Xenopus tropicalis: one gene and its partner. The protein of the gene in region 1 interacts with the protein of each later gene in a pairwise test. Links are inferred from orthologs where the notes say so. Each region holds a gene or a part of one and is shown on either strand. Other genes may lie near its edges.

Region 1 (11,261 bases):
GGAGCCATCTGCACCCCATGAAGCATCAGCTGTTTGTTGCAAATATGTTCATGCGGGCACATGGTACTCTGGGGCTCATCATACGTGTAATGCAAATTTGCTCATCTTTAACTTGACATTTTTAGGTCAGCATCCTTTCTATTATATAAAGCTTCCACCGTGACTGCTGAGAAGAACTCTTTCTGCTCTCCTTGTAGGAACATTTTATTCTGCTGAGTAAAACTGAATAAAAGTAAATTTTTAAGGCACAGCGAGTCCCTGTTCTATATTCCAGACATAAAAGCCCCAGAGAATATCATTATAGCTCTCTGGTGTCCAGTAGGTAACTACACAGATATCTTCAGTCCCCACTATGGTCATTATTAGAACTTTATTGACGTTATTGCATCATTATCATAAAAGTAAAAAAAAATGACTGCAGTCTGCTGTAACCCCCAGAATGATCTCTTATAATATGTCAGGTTTTCTGCTGTAGGGATGTGACTGGCTTAAAGCTGGCCATACACTAATAGATCTCCTTGCTGAGGTTGCCAATTAAGTAGTGGATCCTTGCTGTATTGAGCTGATCCAGTCGTTTAGCCCCCAAATCAGATTTTAATACGGACATGCTGGGAGAGACCTGCACGCCAAGGTTGTTCTTCCCCATCAGGATTTTGAAACTAGATGATAGATATCTGCCCAATTTTCGCCCTTATCTTGGGTGCCTGCCAGACCAATAAGCTGCTGGCTTGGCATGGAGAGAGCCAATCCAAGAGGTACTAGCACCCAAGGCAAGTACCTTTTGTCTTCTCCTATTCCATCAATTCCCACCCATTTGCCACTACAGTCCCCTCTCATGTTCACCCTTCCTTCACCTGTAGCCTTGTCCTGATCGCCCATTTAGAAACTTACATACAGGGTGGGCTTAGGGCAACAAAAATGAAGGGACAATTTAATCATTTTTTTTTATTTTGCACCCCCTTTTAGAGCATTAGCCGAATGCTTTCTCTGCCTACCCCAAATTCCAGCTCTGAATAATTTATTAGCCCAGGTATGGCCATAACTCTTTTATGCATGAAGAGAAGAAGGGAGTTGCCCAAACTGCTGGAACTTTGCAATGAAACTGATTCTCAGTTATGTCAGAATAGCCTTTAATAGGAGGATGAGAATTTCAGAGTGGAATGTCTATCTGGAATGAGTTAGATATAATCAGTGAGATAAAGTTTTAAAATATACACCATGAATAACCTGAACACTATATCCTATAACTCTGCTTAGTGATGTCATTGGTTGTAACACTGCTTAGTGATGTCACTTGGGCACATGACTTATTGAAACCCTGCACTGTACGCATCAGTATTACGCCTCACATCCCAGAGAGCTTAGCTATTTATTTTATGTCCTAGTGAGATCTTTGCACCCTGTTAGGCTGCAAAATGAGGGACAATCTTAATAGGTGAGAATAATATAGATATGAAGTGAGTCTCCTGATTGCCTTGTTTGGGATATCTCATGCAGCGCAGATATAACACCCGCAGCCGTGCCTTTCTGACAGCCTTTAGAGCGCACCAGATAGCCGATCCCAAGTGGCCTTGTCACATCTGTCATGGAAAGTGTGGCGTAGCTTTCCAAGCCATCTCAAGCATTTTGTTTTGCTTTGTTTGATAAGTGAACTGTTTGCTGTGGTGCGTTCTATCTTGTGTCACTCCTCACCTCTGAGCCATACGGCATTGGCCTACTCTATGGTTTCTGGGGTGTAGTTTTCCTCTCAGCAACTTTTTCATGGGATAAAAACCAAGGGAGAAACATAAGGGATTGCACTCAGGTGAAGAACATTAAGCCATTTGCTATGACTCCTTAGCAATTTCCAGCCTGTCTCTATAAGTTTTTGCCATTGGCACCTCTTTGCCACCTTTCTAACTACCATATTTTTCTACATGCAGCCATCATTTCTCTTTTTGTATCGTAAAGGGAACCTAAAACTCGCTCTTTGTTAACAGATATTTTATTTAAATGTAACTTTAATCCACCATGGAACTGGCTGAAGATTGTTGGTTCCTGCCCAGCATTCAGTTCTTGATCTCTGATTTTCATTACAGACTGTGGATTGAATGTTCACAAGCAGTGTTCCAAGATGGTTCCGAATGACTGCAAGCCAGACTTGAAGCATGTTAAGAAAGTTTACAGTTGTGATCTGACCACATTGGTAAAAGCACACAACACGAAAAGGCCGATGGTCGTGGATATGTGTATAAGAGAAATAGAGTCTAGAGGTGAGACTTGTCTTATACATTGGGGCTATTGCTTGGTTCTAGGATGAATTATTGGAGTTAATATTTTGATGTCATGCATGGGGGAAGGGGGGCCTTGCATCCAATATCAGCCTAGAGCATTTGGCTTTAATTATTATAATACAACATCAAGAGAAAATACATCTGTGCCAAGCCACTACAATACTCTAGCAAAGGGCATATTGGCATATTATTTTAGGCAAGGCAAAGGGCCAAGGAGCTGGGATCTGTCGAGCAGAATTTGCAATTTACATTAAAGGGGTTGTTCAGCTTCAGAGACCCCATTTAAAGCTGGAATCATTCAGATGAGGAAGCCAAAAAAAAGAAGAAATAAAGGCCAGTTGAAAAGCTGCTAAGAATTGGCCAATGTATAACATACTAAAAGTTAACTTAAAGGTGAACTACCCCTTTAAAAATGGGAAAGAGTGCACATGTAGGCCATTTATTAAACAGGGTCAGTCAGAAGGACTAATGGAAGATCCCACATGCAAATAAAACAGGCACATTGCAAATGAAATTTGCCAACAAGTTAATTGCTTAAAATCTCAAGTGATTCTATTCTGGGTTAGCCAAGTGATGTCCAATATAATTTGACCTTAATACCCATGCGCTTGCCTATTGAATGGAAATGATACAGTGCGTTGCATCAGCAGTCTCAGGGGAAGGTGCCACATATAGCTTGATGTGTAGCTGGGGACCGAGAGGGAGGGTAAAGCTGAAGGAGACTACAGGTCAAGGTAACCTTTAAGCAGCAAGCTGAGGGCCCTGCTACACTATAATGAGCTATTAGAGTTCTACTGTGGGATAATAAGCAAGTTGGATATGGAATGGCTGTTTCACCCATCTGATATTCTTTTATTATAGGTCTCTCGTCAGAAGGATTGTACAGAGTATCAGGTTTTACTGATCTAATTGAAGATGCCAAAATGGCTTTTGACAGAGGTAGGAGAACCTTTACTTTATTTTGGCCTATCATTATTTCTACTCAAACAGCAAGTGTTCCCTTGCTTCCATGCAAATACTGTATGTAAAGTGACATGAAAACTCAGCTGGCCTGGATCCCCACTATATTAGTGCCTGCCTCTATGGACTTTATGAACAGAAGGTCAACCTTTAACCTTGAACAAATGCAGAATTCTACTGCCCCTCCCAAACACTCCCTCCAAATGATCTGTATTACTTGGGTAGCCTGCACAGTGACCTCAAACATTCCCCCAGAGTAAAGGATTGCAGCCTCCATATTGGGAAAAGGTCCTGTCTTCTGGGCTCCTTGAGCCTGCTCTTATTGCAGCTAGGGCTAACAGTTGTCCTTAGCTTTCAAATGCACACGTTTTCAAACACAACATATAAGTAATGTTCAATGAGGAATGTTTGAAACGGTGTGTATTTGGAAGCCATGCTTCCCTGTTTGCTCTAGCTACTATAGGAGCAGCCTAAAGGTAGGCAAGAGTGATGCAGAGGCTACTCCCAATACCTTTATATCACTGTTTATACAAAGCTGGCCCAGGACAAACATACAAACCCCTTGCAGGTAGCACCCAGGCTGGAACTGAGCTCAGAACCCAAATGCTGCAAAGTAGAAGTTCTTATTCCTAATAAATTATGAAGAACTTGAGAATTCCCCTGTGTTGTCAACCACTGCCAAAAAGCATTACATGTATTTATACTAAGCCAGCTTCTAGTATAAGTAAGTACAAGGTACATAGGCGATAAAACTAAATTCTCTGTGTTCCTGAAGGAACCTTTGTTTTTTTGCCAACATAAAAATTTCTTTCAAATTGCAGACATTCAGCCACCATGATACTCCACCATACACCGCAAGCATTAATTTCATCTCTATTTCCTTTCTACAGATGGGGAGAAGGCTGATATTTCTGTGAATGTATATGAAGACATCAACATTATAACCGGTGCACTGAAACTATATTTCAGGGAACTTCCAATCCCAATCATTACATATGATGCCTACCCGAAATTCCTAGAGTCTGCAAGTAAGTACACATGAGAGCTGCCTGCTGTTAGCAAAGCAGTTTTTTATATTCATATAGATTCATATTTCCAATGCTTTTAAGTTAACCCTATCAATTATGTCTATTTTGGCTCAGGGCGTACTTTGCCAATCCAATGTTCACTATAACCTTCCATGTCACTTTAGTTAATAAAACCTTCCATATGACCCACTTGCTCTGCATGTCCCACGTCAGCACATTCGCAGTATGGCGTTTCTGACATCAGATGAATATATACATAATAAATGATTGTAGAGTGCATGTCTGTAGATAACATGAGAGGATATGGGGCTGGGAGTGGTCTGTGCAATCCCATGACTAGAGCAATATTAGTGCTGGCATATACAAAAATAAATGGGGTTATGCCTGGCCTTTCTGCATCAGTGTTCTACAGGTATTTTATGCCAAAACATAACGTCTATACAGTAGTTTTTGGCCTTAAAGCACAGGCTTGATTAGTCACATAATGTGCTCCCTCTAGTGGTGAATAGGAATATCACATCTGACCACTTATATAATGTCTTTGCATTTGCTATAGGTATACTATCATTTTACATCATTATATAAGTGATTATAGTGATTCCCTTTAGCAGGCAAGATCTGTGCCCCTAAAGATGCCCCAGTAGCTCCCCATCTTCTTTTCTGCTGGTTCACTGCACATGCTCTGTGCTGCTGTCACTTACTGAGCTTAGGGACCCACTCACAATATACTGTATAAACAGAATATAAATGTCACAATATAATGCTGATTAGTAATTCATTCACATTGAATGGCAGTTTAGAAACCAGTGCAGTTGCATCAGAATTTAATCATCAGACCTGTAGCATCAGTTTATAGTATCCAAGATTTATTGCTCATGTGACAACTGTAAAGACCTATATAATTACTAATATAGAGATGCTAGTGCAGTCAGTTTAGTAAATCAATTATGCTCTTTCTAGCCATATTTACTTTTAGGATTTAGCTCTCCTTTAGGGCTAAAAAAAACAACTTTTTAAATGCTTCTTAGTTACTGTATTTTAGAGCTTTCTGAATAATGGGTAAAAGCTCCTAAGGTTTCATGAACACCCGATAGCCAGGTTCTCCAGCCTGCCCAATCTATGCATTGCTTGTAATTCATGGCCCAACACACAGTAGGGTTATCATTAGAATAACCATCTTCCTTATTATTTTCATGCAACGTAATCTCTGTGTATGTTTGTTCTGCCAGAGGCTCCAGACCCTGATGCACAACTAGAAACCCTTCATGACGCTTTGAAGCTGCTGCCTCCAGCTCACTGTGAAACACTACGGTATCTCATGGCCCATTTGAAAAGGTAAGTTCTCTTATACTGTAGGTGTGTTCTGTTTATACTCACACAGCCCTATGGTAATGATACACTGTTATATTGCCATTCTGCCAGGCAGTTACTGTAGGGGGCACGCATGCATCACAGCCATGGGCACACACAGAGCATTAGCTGGGATATTAGCTCAATCTGCCAGTCAGGGTGTGATGTGAGCTCAGTGTCAGTCTGTGCATGTAGAGAGGCAGCCTGTAATTGGCCAGAAGCTTGTCATTATCAGCCTTTTATTGATTCAGAACCATATAAGAGAAACAGAGGCATTTTTCTTGTGTGATTCTGCCTGATAGCTGTAGTTGTAGCCAGGGTTCCAAGTTTCTCTACTCATTTAGTGGCCAGTTATACACACACACACACACACACCTACACCTGAAATTTACAACACAGTAGTGGAAGGCCATAGTACTTGCCCACTTGGAATGACATTTGTTTCTGCTCATCATGAGTGGAATATATATATAGATTTGATAGAGAGAAGTCATGTAGCTGTGTAGCAGTGTCTGGGTGTGTGTTTCCTGCTGCAACAACCCCCTGGAGGTGACAAACCAAGGACACCATTGGCACATCCAACCACAGGCCATTATGAATATAAAAGAAGCTGATAATTTAAGTTTTTGCAGTCATAAGCCAGTTAATATATTTTGTTAGCTTTTTTGTCAGTTAATGGGGTGTTTACTGTCCTTTTACAGGGTATTATGACTGCCTAAATCTCTCCCATCGTTGTAGCAATTTGTAACTCAAAGCCACATTACATTAATGACTTGCTCTAATTAAAATGAAAATGTGACACATCATATCACCAATAAAATGTCAGCCATAAGGCATCATGGGCTGAAAAAGCTAAAACTTGTCTGTGTTTGTCCTGCCCTTGTGCAATGTTCCTCCAGGCGTCCATTGGACTGAACTGAATCTGTGCCTTTGCTACACGTCATGTGACATTCATTTTAATTAATGAGACAGGCCCTGAGAAATTAAAAAGCCAAAACTATCAGCAGGGGGTGCGTGGGATTTGCTATTACAGGAATGCCCTTCGGATAGGTCACACTGATCCCATGCACTGTCTCTCCTCACAGGGTGACTCTACATGAGAAGGACAATTTAATGAGTGCAGAGAACCTTGGTATTGTGTTCGGCCCAACTCTCATGCGAGCCCCGGAACAAGATGCCATGGCGGCACTGAATGATATCCGTTATCAGCGGCTCGTGGTGGAGATGCTGATCAAGAACGAAGACATTCTATTTTGAATATAATCAGGAAGAAACCATTTTTGAGATGAATAACGTTAATAAATGAAGGATAGTTTTGCAACATAGCGAGCAGTTTGTTTCCAGGCGAGTCCCTAATTTCCTATGTGTACAGCGTGCAGAAAGGACAGGCTTTTTGTTGTGGCAATCAGATGTATATTGTATAAATCGGGAAGCTCCTCTACTATTACTGCATTGTGTTTACAGTGTAACCACTTCCACAGGATTGCATGATTCTCTCCGTTTTTGTCGGGGATTTCCTTGGAAAAACAAAAACTATCTAGGAAAAAAAAGCCTCTTTCCAAGCGGGTAGTGAATGTAATACGGCATGTTTCTTCCTCCCCCGTGTAACTTGGCCTTTCTGTTCTGCCCAATCAGATTACAGCGTTGAGTTGATCTCATGAATGACTTTTTTTGCTCATTTCACTTCTGTTCTTGCTTTGATGATTGTTTCTTTTTTGCCAAGTTTCTGTATCGTTTGGAAGAGGAAACCTGTGAGTTGTGAATGTTTTATTCCCTTTCCGTGTGGTGCTTGTGATTAAAATGGCAACGATTATTATTTTTTTAATTGTATTTTTGTATTTTTCAACCAGCATGCATGTATTAATTTATTAAATCTAGGTTTTAGAAACCTTTTCTTCTGTGTCTTATTTAGCTTTAAGCAAAGCTTGTTCTGTTATAGCAGCAACACTTAGCACAGGGGGTCTGGGAAATGTCTCCAAATAGTCTCCATTTCCTCTAGAAATGAGCAAATAGCAATGCAGAACTTTGTGGAAGTGGAAGATCTTCTAGTATATCTTGTAGCTATCTCCTGGTATCCTGGTGGGCCACCCTGACTGCGCTGAAGGCTTAATGCATTCTTTCCTGTTTCAGCACAATAATCTCCCATTCACAAAGCAAGGTCCATTCAGAGTTGGGTTTGTTGCGATAGGAGTGGTAGAACTTGTTTAAACTGTACAGAGGCCTGACCTCAAGCCAAATGAATACCCGTGGGATGAACTGAAATGCCTACTGTCACCTTAGCCTGATTCCCAACATCAGTGCCCATCCTCACTAAATCTCTTTGGCTGAATGGTAGGAAACAGCACCTACAATGGACTGACTACATATTACTGAACATGCAGATGTCTGGATACCTTTGGCCATAGAGTGCATCTTGTTTAGAGAAAATGTTTTAAAAAAATATTTAAACACTGCTGCTCTTTAGACTTCTATGAAAATGTGGGTCTTAAACATCTGATCTGCAGTTACAACTCTGGTAGTGTGGCCTTAAAGGAGAAAGAAAGCTAAAAAGTAAGCTTTATCAGAAAGGTCTATGTAAATACAGCCATAAGCACTCACAGAAACGCTGCACTGACTTCCTGTGCCAGAGACACACAGCTCTCTCCCCTCTCCTGCTCCCCCCTCCCTCAAGAATGCTAAGAACTCCCTCCCCCCCTTAGGAATGTGGATCTGAGCCAATCAGCAGGACGCTGACTCATAGTCTTACAAACTAAGCATGTACACTGGTCTGGGTGTCTGTGCAAGAGTGAGGCATTATGGGAACTTTCTTTACACAGCTCAGCGTTTTTTCTTCCTGTTTGGCTTCTGGTCATCTGAACAGGAGAAATATGGGACTTAAGCTGGCCATACACCAGCAGATCCGCTCGCTTGGCGATGTCGCCAAGCGAGCGGATCTTCCCCCGATATCCCCACCTACGGGTGGGCGATATCGGGGACCATTTAGGTAAAAAAAATAATAATCCGATCGTTTGGCCCTGGGGCCAGACGATCGGATTATGTGGGCGGCAATGGGGCAGTCGGATCGGCTCGTTGATGCGGTCCCCGATCCGACCAGATTTTCTAACCTGGCCGATCGAGATCTGGCCAATTTCAGGCCAGATATCGGTCGGCCAGGCCGATCTGCTCTCCCCATACACGGGCCGATTAGCTGCCGAATCGGTCCAAGGGACCGATATCGGCAGCTATAGTCGGCCCGTGTATGGCCACCTTTAAGGGCACTATTGAGACAACTGAAGGTATGCCTGCAGCTTGAGATTAACTCTTTACTAGCCTTTCCTACTAGCTAATGGCACACAGCTCATTTTCTGCAAAAATGTATACATTAGCGTTTCTGCTCCAAATTCTTATTCTTAGGGGCTGATTTACTTACCCACGAACGGGTCGAATGGAGTCCGATTGCGTTTTTTTCGTAATGATCGGTACTTTGCGATTTTTTCGTATGTTTTGCGATTTTTTCGGATTCTTTACGAATTTTTCGGATCCAATACGATTTTTGCGTAAAAACGCGAGTTTTCCTATCCATTACGAAAGTTGCATAAAAAGTTGCGCATTTTGCGTAGCGTTAAAACTTACGCGAAAAGTTGCGCATTTTTCATAGCGTTAAGTTTTGTTCGTTTTCAAGTCGGAACTTTTCCAATTCGGGTCGGATTCGTGGGTTAGTAAATCAGCCCCTTAGTGTCCAAAATACTGCTACTAATTGTATAGCCACCCAGGCCACTCCATGGAGAGTTGATAGGGCTGAAACTTGGTCTTTCAGAGTTGCTGCCCTTAAACCATTGTCCATGTACTCTTAAAGGGAAACGAAAGTCAAAGTCACTTGGGGGTGCCAAAATGTTAGGCACCCCCAAGTGACTTTAACCGCTTACCTCGTACCCCGGGCTGGTGCCCCTGTTAGGAGAAAACAGCACCAGCCCGGGGCACCTGGAGCGCAGCGCTTCCGTCTTCCTCGCTTCCTTTTCCTGAGTGCCAGCGGTGGGCGCATGCGCAGTAGAGTGAAAAGCCGACTTTAACATTTAAGTTCGGCTTTTCACTCTACTGCGCATGCGCGCGCAGCGAATCAGGAAAAGGAAGCGCCGGCAGCTACCCCGGGCTGGTGCTGTTCCTTCCTCACAGGGGCACCAGCCCGGGGTAAAAGGTAGGCGGTCAAAGTCACTTGGGGGTGCCTAACATTTTGGCACCCCCAAGTGACTTTGACTTTATTTTTCTTTTAAAGAAATTCCACAACAATCATTTGCATGAGTACTGATTCACATACACCAATTTACAGATATTCCTCAGTTTCACATATTTTAAGAAACTGAGGAATATCATACTTTCCACTAGCAATGTTGATTAATCTTTATAATTTGGACCTTCATGTTTAGTTATTTGATCTCAATGCTGCCAGCTTTCACTTATCTAAGTTGGGCCATATGAGAGGCCCCTAACTTAAATTCTCAGCTGTGATGACAGTTAGGAAGGTGGAAGAACTGCTACATTGAATACCTTGGGAAACCAGGGTCTTCACCCAGGTAGGTTTATAATGACTTCTGATTTCTGTCCTCAGTTATCTTCATTACATATCTGCTAGTTACCTACTAGAGCAAAATGTTGGATGTTTATTTGGGGCACACTTCTCCCAACATAAACATGTCACAGTTCATCAGCAAACATGGTTATGATTTGTCCCTTCTTCAGGGCTTCCAGGGTAATTCTCACACTCTGGAACCTTTCCCTGGGGATTCTCGACATCCCCAATGGTTTTCACACATCCAAAGTGACTCTCACACTCGTGAATACTCGGGCTACTCACTCAGCCCTGCTGTCTCTCCCCTCCTGAGATACCAGCTCACCAGTTTCTGGCACACTTTGGCTTCCCACCAAGCCACTCAACACATGGTCATGGCTCCCTCTGCTCCTTGCAGTGGCAGGCAATACCCCCAGCCCCTCTGGGAGTTCCTCACACAGTCAGGCAGCCTTTCTGCCCTGTGCCCCACTCTGAGAGACCTTTTCTCTGTGTGACCTTTCACGTGAGTGTTCAACATTTGTCTGGGTGACTCCTCACTTGGTTACGGCTCCCTCTGCTCCTTGCAGTGGCCAGTGGCACCCCTAGCCCCTCATTAACTTTCTGTAAAGGTACTGTATCAAACACTTTAGCAAAGTCCAAGTAGATGACATCCATTGCCATCCCAGCGTTAAGGTTCCTGCTCACCTCCTCATAAAAGGCAACTAAATTAGTCTGGCAAGATTTGTTACGTATAAAACCATGCAGGCACAAACTTAGAATATTGTGATTTGCAATGTATTCAAGTACCCTATCCCTTATTACCCCTTCCAGAAGCTTTCCTACTACTGGTGTCAGACTAACAGGCCTATAGTTTTCAGGCTGAGAACAGGATTCCTTTTTGAATAACGGCACCACATTAGCAATCCGCCAGTCTCTCGTCACCATGCCAAACCTCAATGAATCCTGAAAAATTAAGTAAAGGGGTTTGGCAATCACAGCGCTCAGCTCATTTAATACCCTGAACCTTATTCCTATGTCCCGGACCTTTTGTTACCTTTACATGTTCAAGTCTCTTTTGAATTTCCTCCTGAGCGACCCATGCATCAGTAGTTATATTACTAGAAT
Region 2 (12,307 bases), on another chromosome or scaffold:
GCATATTTGATTACCAAGGTATACGCAGCAAAATCCAAGGGGCTCCCAAGACCCTTCCCCATTAGCAACCAGTTTCCATTCTGGTATTGCTCACTGCATTTCCAAGTTAAAGTCAAGCAACAATTCTGACATCTATGTTCTTGAACAGCACCCATATAATAATAATAATAATGCAGTGTAATGTAGGTTACCATTCACCAGAGTGGGACGTCGTTTCCATTTGTCCTTGGCTGACTCCTTTTCCACTTGGCCCAATCAATATCATTGGAGTTCCAGAACGGCATATTGAGTTTGGAATAGCTGATTACTCCATTTAAATCTGGAGTACAATTTAGGCCAAGCTAAAGTTGGTGTAAGTTTTTCTGGTGTTAAAGGATAAGAAAACCTTTAAAATAAGTTGTAAAATGATGAGTGTGCTGTTCTTAGCACTATTGCAATTTACATAAAAAATTTTATTCCAAGATATTAAGGGTTAAAAGTACTGTTACTATAAAACATTGTTACAACAGCGCCACCTGCTGGTCACTTTCCAAACATCAAGTAGTGTGGAGGAAGTTTTCAGGAGAAAGAAAGAGGAAAAGAGGGATGTTCTTCTGTTTAGGAAAAAACATTAGAAACCTCAGATAACTTTTCTCCTATGTTTCCTAACCAGAAGAACATCAGACCAGCCCTCTTTCTTTCTCCTGACAACTCCCTCGTCAACGTCCTTGACTACATTATGACTGGAAAGCAGATGGCGCTGTTGTAACAAAATGCATTTATATTAACCGTATGTTTAACCCTTCCTTGGAATAAAAAAAAATAAATCTAAATTCCTAAGTATAGCACTCTCATCAATTTTACATCAACATTTTGGTTTATGTATCTTTTAATTAAATTCAGTGAGAGTTAAATTGGCAAAATTGCTTTACTCCAACTTTTTGGCAAAAGTAAATGTAAATAATTTTCAAATAAAATAAAAAACATTTTGGCATAGGGTGGCATTACAAAATCGTCATTTGAAGATTCTCTAGTGTAAATGCAAATTTAATGTCAAATATGTTTTAATGCCCACTTTTGCCCCCCCATCAGCTGTGCCCTAAATTGGATTGATTTAATGCTATACAGTGGACCAACGGACTGTTGATTTGATCAGTAAAGTCAGCATTGGTACCATATGGGTATAAGGCAGAAAAAATGCATCATCTTTTTTCCCCCTATAACAATATCAGCTACACCCCAGGCTTTACCACACTGCTAATCAGAACTTATATCTACAGCTGATACGGATATGTTCAACTTGAACGCCCTTCTTAACTGCACTTTTCTGTGGTTTTTCAGGCACAAATCATGTACTTGCAAACTCTCCTCTTACGCAGACTTCTCCAAAGTGTCAGTCCCACTTGGCTGCCATGTCGATGGCTGGGTGGTGGTGAAATGAGTCCAAGCAAGCTTGTTCGTCACTGGCAGAGCATATTTCATGATCATGGAGTGCCGGAGCCTCAGGAATCCAGTGAGATACTTATAGCACATGCCCTGGGATCCAAAACCGTGAGTTGGACAGTCAGACATGCACGTCCCTAAGCATCAGCATGAGTTTCTATATCTGCTAAAGCAAAGCTAACACTGAGCTAAGAAACTCCAAATGAATCCTCTGTATTACCAGTCACTCATTCTAATAGCTTCCTTAAAGTGTTTTTAAAGGGTTAATATACTTTCCATTTAAAGGCTAGCTATTAACAAAGAATTAGGCTTCATATATTGTTTCTTAATTTACCAGCTAGCAATGAAGACCTGTGCCTCCATAGATAGGCCCAACATTTTTTACATATCTTTTTTTTCTATTGAGGCACAGCAAATGCACAGCCTGCTTTACGCTAATGTATATCAGCAGTATGGAGGGAGTTATGCTTAGTATCCGGTGAAGAAAATGCATTTTTTTTCTATGTATTGTATATAATTACTTTAAATAATAAGAAAGGGTCAGTGTTACTAATCAGTGCAGAAGCAAACACTTATTTTGAACTGTGCTGCAGGGATTATGATTAATTGTTCCAATGCACACTGGTGACTGCACGGATTTCTCTGCAGCTGTGCTTTGCACATCTGAACTAATTCCAATAAGCCCTGCGGCATGTGACTTACACAGGTGACTGGTTTAGAACTATAGAATGCCAAATTATTCCATTTAAAGTGAACACCAAGTATTTATGTTGCACAGCCAATTCAGTATAAATCTGCACACCACATTGCTGCACAGAAACCAGTACATATATGGGACCTGTTATCCAAAATGCTCGGGACCTGGGGTTTTCTGGATAAGGGATCTTTCCATACTTTGGATCTCCATGCCTTAAGTCTACTAAAAATTGTTTTAACTTTAAATAAACCCAGCAGAATTGTCTTGCTTCCAGTAAGGATTAATTATATCTTAGTTGGGATCAAAATTACTTGATGAAAATGGAGTCTATGCGGGATGGCCTTTTTTCTGGATAATTTACAGATAATGGATTACGTCCCTGTACAGCCTTCAGCAACCAGCTGAACTCAGATAACAGATAAGTGGAATTAATAGGGAGAAATTTCAAATAAACCAGCCCAAAACCCATATATACAATATAATATACATATTTTTTTTTTATAAAGCACATATGGCACATTCTTGTTTTATAGGCAATTTGTCTCTTTTAAAATTAAACTTTTATAAAACATAGAAAATTATTTATTTTCCTGAGGGTGCTTGAATTAACATTTTGTCCTGCAGTTTCCCAGTATTTCATTTCAGCTTCTATGTGACTGGGGTCCCAGTTGTCCTAGCAACCAGGCACTGGATTGGAAGCCAGACTGGAAGATGAGTAGGAGAGGGTCTCTACAGACACAGTTGCAAAGAATCCGTTTCTGAATTTGAGCTCATACTGGGTAGCTGATTACCAGCCAGTCCTAATGAATGCTGCAGACTTTATTGCTTTCTAGCAGCTGAAGAAATCAATAATTAACCATGGAGTTTGTGTTTTTCAGGGCAATCCGTTTTAAACTGAAAAAAATTAAAATCAGATACCCATAAAATCCACATGCAGCAAGGCTAGTGATTAGGTTAAATGTGAGGTTGCATTGCTCTATAAGCTGCTTTGTAGAATACCATATCTCTTGCTACAGATATATATAAAATTTATTTTGTACTTCTGACATTTGCACACACTGAGCATGTGACCCTTGGGCAGGTACATTGTGGCCCCTACCGAATAACCAGTCAGCGAGTTTGTTTGCATGTATTCCATGCCTCCTTATGCTCTCTTTTGGAATGCTTCATGAACAGTATTTCTTTGTAAATGGTTTGTATTTACTCTCTTTCTTGCAGTTTCCAAGTCTCCCTCCTTCAGTTGCTCACACTTCTGTCTCTGTAGCTCAACTACGGCACATAGAGAGCATGGCCCAGCAGCGTTTAAAGAGGTAGGGAAAGACTCAATTGCAGAGTGACACATGACCACGTAACACTTTTTTACCAGGGGAACAGTAACTGTAACTGTTTCCTAAATCAAAATTGTGTAATGCCTTAAGCTGGCCATACACGCACACCATTGGTATTGTACAAAACGAGGTGCGTGTATGGAAGATCGACAAGACGACCAATATCGCAAAGGCAGCGGATATCTGTTGACCGGCCGGGTTAAAAGATTTTGATTGGGCGTCATTGAAGGTGCTGAATCAGAAGGTGGAGGTAGAATTCCTATTGTTTCTTCCTCCACATCTGACAATTCAGCCCTGAATGTCAGTGGGGGACATGATGGTCACAGGAAAGATCAGAATTGCTACGTGTATGGCCACGTTTAGGCAACCGTTTTCTCTGCCCCCAACAATACAATACATTTATAATGCTATGGGGGTCACTATAACATATTATTTCCATTTATATAGCTAACACATTTCCGCAGCGCTGTACAGAGATTATACATCATTCACACCAGTCCCTGCTTACAATCTAAGTTCCCTATCACATTTACGCACATTATGGTCCATTTAGTCAGAAGCCAATTAACCTGCCTGTATGTTTTGGATACTGGAGTACCCTGAGGAAACCCACACAGACATGGGGAGAACATAAACTCCTTGCAGATAGTGCCCTGCCTGGGATTGAAATTAGGACCCCAGCGCTGCAAGGCAGGCATGCTACTCACTGAGCCACAGGTCTGTTCAGAACTTAGATTGCACGATCTGTTGGGGAGGGTCTTCCTTTCTCTTTTGTTTCTTAATGCTTGGTACTAGGGAGCAAATTTAAAAAAAAAATAAAAAATTAACTCTTAGTAAAATTTACAGAATATTTATAAACCAGCTCCTAAGCCTTGAATGTAATTTACAGTGGAGGAAATAATTATTTGACCCCTCACTGATTTTGTAAGTTTGTCCAATGACAAAGAAATGAAAAGTCTCAGAACAGTATCATTTCAATGGTAGGTTTATTTTAACAGTGGCAGATAGCACATCAAAAGGAAAATCGAAAAAATAACTTTAAATAAAAGATAGCAACTGATTTGCATTTCATTGAGTGAAATAAGTTTTTGAACCCCTACCAACCATTAAGAGTTCTGGCTCCCACAGAGTGGTTAGACACTTCTACTCAATTAGTCAACCTCATTAAGGACACCTGTCTTAACTAGTCACCTGTATAAAAGACACCTGTCCACAGAATCAATCAATCAAGCAGACTCCAAACTCTTCAACATGGGAAAGACCAAAGAGCTGTCCAAGGATGTCAGAGACAAAATTGTAGACCTGCACAAGGCTGGAATGGGCTACAAAACCATTAGCAAGAAGCTGGGAGAGAAGGTGACAACTGTTGGTGCGATTGTTCGAAAATGGAAGGAGCACAAAATGACCATCAATCGACCTCGCTCTGGGGCTCCACGCAAGATCTCACCTCGTGGGGTGTCAATGATTCTGAGAAAGGTGAAAAAGCATCCTAGAACTACACGGGAGGAGTTAGTTAATGACCTCAAATTAGCAGGGACCACAGTCACCAAGAAAACCATTGGAAACACATTACACCGCAATGGATTAAAATCCTGCAGGGCTCGCAAGGTCCCCCTGCTCAAGAAGGCACATGTGCAGGCCCATCTGAAGTTTGCCAATGAACACCTGAATGATTCTGTGAGTGACTGGGAGAAGGTGCTGTGGTCTGATGAGACCAAAATAGAGCTCTTTGGCATTAACTCAACTCGCTGTGTTTGGAGGAAGAAAAATGCTGCCTATGACCCCAAAACACCGTCCCCACTGTCAAGCATGGGGGTGGAAACATTTTGCTTTGGGGGTGTTTTTCTGCTAAGGGCACAGGACAACTTATTCGCATTAACGGGAAAATGGACGGAGCCATGTATCGTGAAATCCTGAACGACAACCTCCTTCCCTCTGCCAGGAAACTGAAAATGGGTCGTGGATGGGTGTTCCAGCACGACAATGACCCAAAACATACAGCAAAGGCAACAAAGGAGTGGCTCAAGAAGAAGCACATTAAGGTCATGGAGTGGCCTAGTCAGTCTCCGGACCTTAATCCAATAGAAAACCTATGGAGGGAGCTCAAGCTCAGAGTTGCACAGAGACAGCCTCGAAACCTTAGGGATTTAGAGATGATCTGCAAAGAGGAGTGGGACCAACATTCCTCCTAAAATGTGTGCAAACTTGGTCATCAATTACAAGAAACGTTTGACCTCTGTGCTTGCAAACAAGGGTTTTTCCACTAAGTATTAAGTCTTTTTTTGTTAGAGGGTTCAAAAACTTATTTCACTCAATGAAATGCAAATCAGTTGCTATCTTTTATTTAAAGTTATTTTTTCGATTTTCCTTTTGATGTGCTATCTGCCACTGTTAAAATAAACCTACCATTGAAATGATACTGTTCTGAGACTTTTCATTTCTTTGTCATTGGACAAACTTACAAAATCAGTGAGGGGTCAAATAATTATTTCCTCCACTGTATGTTCCTTTGTTGTATCTTCCCTATTGATCTATTAATTATTATATATTGTTGAATGCACAGAGTTGTGTGTTCAAGTAACCGTATATAAATAGGTGTATACATACATAATGGCAACTGCTCCATCCAAAATGTGGCGGGCTCTTAAGCAACTAACTAGATTGGTTGCTTGCACTTGGTTACTGCACTGAGGCAGTTTTGCCTTGTGTTGCCTCTTCTTCAGCCATATGAAATGATCTCTTCTGTATTAGTGTTACAGAAACCATGTGTCTTATACAGTAGCATAGTATAAGAATTAGTTGTTATGGTAGCCATGCACTCTGCAGGGAGTCTAATTTGGGGACTAACAGGCAATCCAACTTGTTTTTGATGTGCAATTAATTTTCATGCACCCCCACAGATGCGTATGTTAATTGACGTCATTGTGCCCTTTGGGTCTCTACCCAAGGGAGTGGATATCAATCCGCAAATGGTTTACATAAATTTTTCCTGCATTCAGCGTAAATATATAATCCCCCTAGGTATCATATGTAAGAAGCAAGTAGAAACGTCTTTAGGTATGTACCCTAAAGCATTGCTTGCTTGGCACAGTTTTCTGAAATTGTTAATGTTATAAGGTAGACTCACAGGAGACCTAGGCGCACACGTCCTAAACCATCAGCATGGGAATTGGATTATCCAAATATTGCTTATTTAGAAGATTCCTATTTTAAACACTGGCCGTACATCAGCATGCATTTGCTTACATCATTGTTGGCTCATTTTTATTTCTGATCATTCCTTTCCAGGGTCCCTATTCAGTACGTTATTGGGGAGTGGGATTTCTTGGATATAACTTTACAAATGAGACCTCCTGTATTCATTCCAAGGCCTGAGACAGAGGTATGAAAGCACGATGCCATTATAACCTTATGTTTAAAGTACATGAATATTTAGTGAGACTTCCTGTTAATGTTATAGAAAGGGTATTGAGGATAATTCAGTAGAAAAAGATAATTGGAATATGATACATTAAATTGAAACCATTGTAACAGCAGAGCCCTGAAATTACTTCAACCTAAAGGGACAAATAGGCAGCCGTGTGTTCTCTGTAACACAGACATATGGCACCCCAAGCCATACACACACAGTGCTTCTTTAGTTTATATTTACAGTGCACATTTATGTCTATAAATACTGAATCAATTACAAGACCAAAGATATATAGTCCCTCCTACATAACAGTGAACTGACTTTTAAGCCTTTTGTTTCAGGAACTGGTCGGCCTTGTCCTGGGAGCAAGCAGAAGGTTGCAGTGTTCCGCAGAGCCTCTAGTTCTGGAGGTGGGATGTGGTTCAGGGGCTGTGTCTTTGTCGTTACTACAGAGACTTCCTCAGGTAACAAAGTGTGGTTGAGCTCTGGATCTTGTAAAGCTTACATTTGCTAAAAATGAAGGACTTTAGATAGTCCTGTCTAGGGAGATAGTAGACATGTCTTGAGTTTTACATTTATGTTCCCTATGGATACTCTTCTCAGTGCTTTGAACATGGGGAATTCCATAAGAAAGCTACAGTGGTTTCCAGATGTTTTTTTGCCCCATTTGAGGGGCAGTATCTGCTCAGAGCTTCTTCTAACAAGGATATAGATATATGAGAAGGTTACAGGTATATATATATATATATATATATATATATATATATATATAGTTGTGTCAGTCATCCTGCTATAGCTTATAGGAAAAAGGGCTGATCTAATGTTCTTCTGCTTAGGAAAGACAATAGAAACCTCAGACAACTTCCTAACCAGAAGAACATCCCTCTTTCTCTGGACAACTTCCTCAACTACTTCATGTTTGGAAAGTGACCAGCAGGTGTCGATGTTGTAACAAAATGTATTCATATTAACAGTCCTTTTAACCCTTAATATCTTGAAATTAAAAAAAAAAAAATATGTAAAGATGCACTCTCATAATTTTACATCAGCTTATTTGTAAAGGTTTACTTATCCTTTAAGGCTGGTGGTAGTGGCAGTAGCTTCAGGTTTCCTCTGCATCATTCATGTGTCTTTACATGGATTGGCTTTTTCCATGAAACTGTGTGTCCATTTTTGCCTAAAAATCTTCTCCTGTTTGCAGGCTCGCATAACAGCAATTGATAAAACTAAAGCAGCTGTCAAACTGACTGAGGACAATGCAGTAAGGTAAGAGTTAAAGCAGCTGTAGTAAACTTTTATAAAAAAATAAAAACCTATCAGTATTTACATAAAACTGGGATGACAGAGTATGTCAAAGACAGAAGCTACAGTGTACTGGGAAAAGAATGAGGGACTGGAACAACTGCAGGGAGTGGTGATGTCTAGCAGTGGGTTTAGGAGTGCTTACCACTTAACAGGAAGCATCTAGGCCAAGTAATGAAGAACTATGGAAGTTTTATGGAGCATTAGAAGGATTAACATTCAATGTACAGGTATAATACCCATTATCCCGAATGCTCGGGACCTGGGGTTTTCCGGATAAGGGATCTTTCTGTAATTTGGATCTCCATAATTTAAGTCTGCTAAAAATCTTTTAAATATTGAATAAACCCAATAGGATGGTTTAGCCTTCAATAAGGATTAATTAGTTGGGATCAAGTACAAGGTACTGTTTTATTATTACAGGGGAAAAAAATAGAATTATATGCTTATAATTGAGTCTATGGAAGATGACCTTTCAGTAATTTGGAACTTTCTGGATAACGGGTTTCCGGATAAGGGATCCCATACCTGTATTACCTTTATTATTTTTGTTACACTTGCTATGCATCTCCCAGAGCTTTGTACAATGAAAAAAGAAATGGTTTCCTGTAATTATGGGACATCCCTGCTTATTAAAGGGGAAACACAAGCAGGGACAGGTGAAACAAAAGGAATGTTAGGGAACAGCTGAAATTGTACTTTTGTAAATAGCATGCAAAGTGCTGCAGAGAGCACATCCACAAAGGGTTCAGTAACTTTCTACTGCATTATTATTACCTTGTGCCTTATACATAAGCGGGGGGGAAAGCGTGTAAAGCAGTCCTCCAAGAAAATAAAGACTATGGCATACTGCATTGCTGCACTGAGCCGCACCATCTCAGTACTGCCCAGCACGTGGCGAAGTGAAATGGTGATGGTGCCACAATCATGGACAGAAAGATTTAGTGTTATAGGTCTAGTGGTTTTTTTTGGAGTTTGCATAAACCTTAAGAGGTGGGAGTGAGTAACAGAGAAAGTGTGCTGCTCTCCAGTATTTTAGTTTTTTGAGAGGAAGAATGTTGTTCTGCATGAGATGAGTAGCATAGGTGCAAATTAAGACTGTATTTAGCCGTTAGACAGCTTTTATAATATGCTAGGAATTATCTCGCACACAAAGGTTATAGCCCTGGGCCTTGGTTACCACTAAGGAGGATCTCGTAGAATTGTCTCACACATTTTTTCTAGCGTTTTGTCTTTGCGTTTGTAACCCTTGCCAAAAATGCAGTTAAAAAACACTAGAAATTCCCCCTTGTGCCAATACTTTACAAAGACGAGACTGTTACGGCTCATTTAAAAAATGGGTGGAAGGTAAAGTGCAAAGTACAGAAAATTGGTGCATCTCATTATGTATTTGGAGCTGCTTATACTTGAAATCGATGCACAGAGGAGTCATTTTTATTATTGTCCTTTTATTTGTATAGCACTGATACAGTTATTCATTTATAACTTATTGAACTTGTGTAAACAAGAGGTATTCTGTTTATGGCCAGGTGGGTTAGACAAGTTTGCCTGCTCTCACACTTGTATCTACCCTTAATGAATTTGGTCATTAATAAGGAGGCATGGATAGGGGCATCTGGGCTCTGGTTAGACTTTAAATCAGGATTTATATTATTGTTTAAGGCTAATGTCACACGGGGCTGATTCTCGACTTGTGGATAAACGCAGGCCAAAAATCCGCCTTCCCCTGTGCCTGCACCCAGAGCCATTACATTTAGCCTTGTTGCAGGCACACAGAGTGGATTTCAGCACCGAGACGCAGTGAAAATGTTATTTGTGTGCTAAAAAAAAAAATTTCTATACAAACTTAAGCCAAATTAAACCCTTAACATATTTTTTTTCCCAACATTTTTAGCATGGTGAAACATTTCGGTGTAAAAAATATCTGTTAAAAAGGTTTGACAATTGTCGATAGTGGCTGACATTTTTGTGAATTCCCCCCTATATGTTTTAGATTAATTTCTTCTCCCAAGATTATTCCTTCAAGGCTAATCAGGTGTTACATTTCCAAAGCATCTTTTCTGACTGCACATACTTACAGTTTGGGGTTTTCATATGATCCAACTTTGCCTTTCTCTCTTCTCTATGGGAGGAAGCACTTTCTGCTTTTCCTCTTTTTACACTGCTATATTTTTTTAATTACTAATGGACATAGGTTTCCTACTCTCCACATAAAATAAGTTAAGTTATTCACCAAGCAAAACTGTGTAGCCAGTGAACGTAGCTAACCAAAAGGCTAAGCCGAGAGGCTCTCCAGCAGTGAGAGAGGTAGGGGGAGTATAATCCTTTAATGAGCAGCATGTGGCAATATTCCTGGTGAGAGGAATGCAGATGTAAAGGAAGGAGTTCTAGGAACCAGTTCTGTGGATCAAGTTAAGTACTTCTAAGAATGAACCATATGGAGAAATAAAAAAGGCTAGTAGAGAACAGAGGAAGTGGCTTTGTGGAGCAATAAGCGCAATAATCTATAGTAAGCCGCTGTATGAAATAGCAGAATATTTTTTATTGAGCAATAGGAAGCATGGAAGGGACAAGGTGTGATAATGTAATGAGAAGGAGTTCCAGGCAATGGTTTATGAGGTTTCTGGCGAATTCTGGGGAGGAAATGAGTATAGAAAAAAAAATATTGGAAATGTTTGCTGAAGCCTAACTCTTTCATTTCTGTCTCTAGTTTGGGCCTCCAAAACCAAATCCAAGTTCTGCTGCTTGATATTTTAGCAGGTAAAACATTTGTGTCTTTCTGTCCTCTTCTCCATCATGTTTTTCCCACCATACATTGTGACTCTGTTCTTCCCACCATAACAATTGGTATGTGGGGTTTCTTACAATCTTCTTCTTCAGATCCACCAGATCCTCTCCTCATGTGGGGCCCTGTGGATGTTTTGGTCAGCAATCCCCCTTACATATCCACATCTGATATCTCTCAACTTGATCCAGAGATTGTTAAGTAAGTATTGTACAGTCTCCTGGCCAGAACACCAGGCTCCGCACAGTCTGCTGGTTACACTCCATTTCTCCCTTTCAGATATGAGGACCATGCAGCATTAGATGGGGGTCCTGATGGCATGGATGTAATAAGGGGAATACTGTCTTTCGCACCTCGGCTTCTGAAGCCTGGTGGGTATGTAGTTTTCATTCAAGTCTGGGCTGAAGCTTTTCACTTTGTGTAAGAACACGTGTATGGCCCAGCAGTTCCCTCATGCTGTCTCCCTCTGTTTTAACAGGGATATTTTTCTAGAGGTTGATCCCAGTCACCCAGAGAGAATAAAGCTATGGATTCAAGACCACACTGATACGCACCTTCAGTACATTAGTACTGTACAAGACTTCTGTGGCAGGTACTGCAGTGCTCCAATCTGTTTTTCATGAGTACCTGGGCACTATTACTCCCTTCAAGCTTTATTATTACTTTCTATCTTACCTGTATGCAGTTATACTTTACAGGAGGCATGCAGGATTAACTAATGAATTGTATTCTTCAATATTTAGATGAGTACAATTCATTGGCACAGTATTGTGTTTCACACAATATTCCTCTTTAGAACAGTGGTTTCAGAGTTTCTTAGTTAAATTCCCCTGTTTACAGGTACAAATTGGACAAGGCTATGCAGCTGTAATAAGAAGGCCACAGATATATGAAACCATAGCTTAAACATCACCCTGAAATCATACTTGTGATGTCCAAGACAGCAAATCCACCATCATTGTACTTCCTACATCTGTATCCTATTCTAAAGCTTTGTTTTTTCCACAGGTCGAGGTTTGTACATTTACGCAGAGACTGAACCTCGCTTCATACGGTTCCTGCCATGATACATAAACTGAATTCCCTGATTCCCTGCATATCCAAACAAGGATGGTGCAATTCTTTCAGTAGTGGGTTGGATTTGTTAGACAAGTAGGCTCAGGATGGCCCCATATTACACAATGACTGCTTGCTGGATAAACTGAGACCCTGTGCAAATCCCAGTGTAGGATTTGGACCCATTAATGGGAATAATTAGCAGGGTCAAAGATACAACTGCCATGGCAGCTTTAGGCTAATGGCACGTGGGGTATTTTGATCTCTGCTGTAATCAGGAGGAAAATGGCTCATCATTGCCTATT

The links.
Region 2: the proteins of chn1 (region 1) and hemk1 interact in binary tests that used the Homo sapiens proteins (3 or more experiments, as listed by UniProt). The two-hybrid records come from large-scale screens. The link is inferred for Xenopus tropicalis from reciprocal best matches to the Homo sapiens genes CHN1 and HEMK1.

Annotation. Positions count from the first base shown.
Region 1 is NC_030685.2:64,274,238-64,285,498, reverse strand, and holds the end of chn1 (N-chimaerin), read left to right. Parts: intron 1-2,078; coding exon 2,079-2,252; intron 2,253-3,134; coding exon 3,135-3,212; intron 3,213-4,123; coding exon 4,124-4,261; intron 4,262-5,490; coding exon 5,491-5,596; intron 5,597-6,696; coding exon 6,697-6,868; 3' UTR 6,869-7,499; downstream 7,500-11,261. UniProt on the Homo sapiens protein: GTPase-activating protein for p21-rac and a phorbol ester receptor. Involved in the assembly of neuronal locomotor circuits as a direct effector of EPHA4 in axon guidance.
Region 2 is NC_030680.2:127,606,853-127,619,159, reverse strand, and holds part of hemk1 (MTRF1L release factor glutamine methyltransferase), read left to right. Parts: intron 1-1,320; 5' UTR 1,321-1,329; coding exon 1,330-1,530; intron 1,531-3,337; coding exon 3,338-3,429; intron 3,430-6,735; coding exon 6,736-6,829; intron 6,830-7,200; coding exon 7,201-7,323; intron 7,324-8,060; coding exon 8,061-8,125; intron 8,126-10,871; coding exon 10,872-10,921; intron 10,922-11,041; coding exon 11,042-11,147; intron 11,148-11,225; coding exon 11,226-11,321; intron 11,322-11,424; coding exon 11,425-11,538; intron 11,539-11,954; coding exon 11,955-11,985; 3' UTR 11,986-12,307. UniProt on the Homo sapiens protein: N5-glutamine methyltransferase responsible for the methylation of the glutamine residue in the universally conserved GGQ motif of the mitochondrial translation release factors MTRF1, MTRF1L, MRPL58/ICT1 and MTRFR.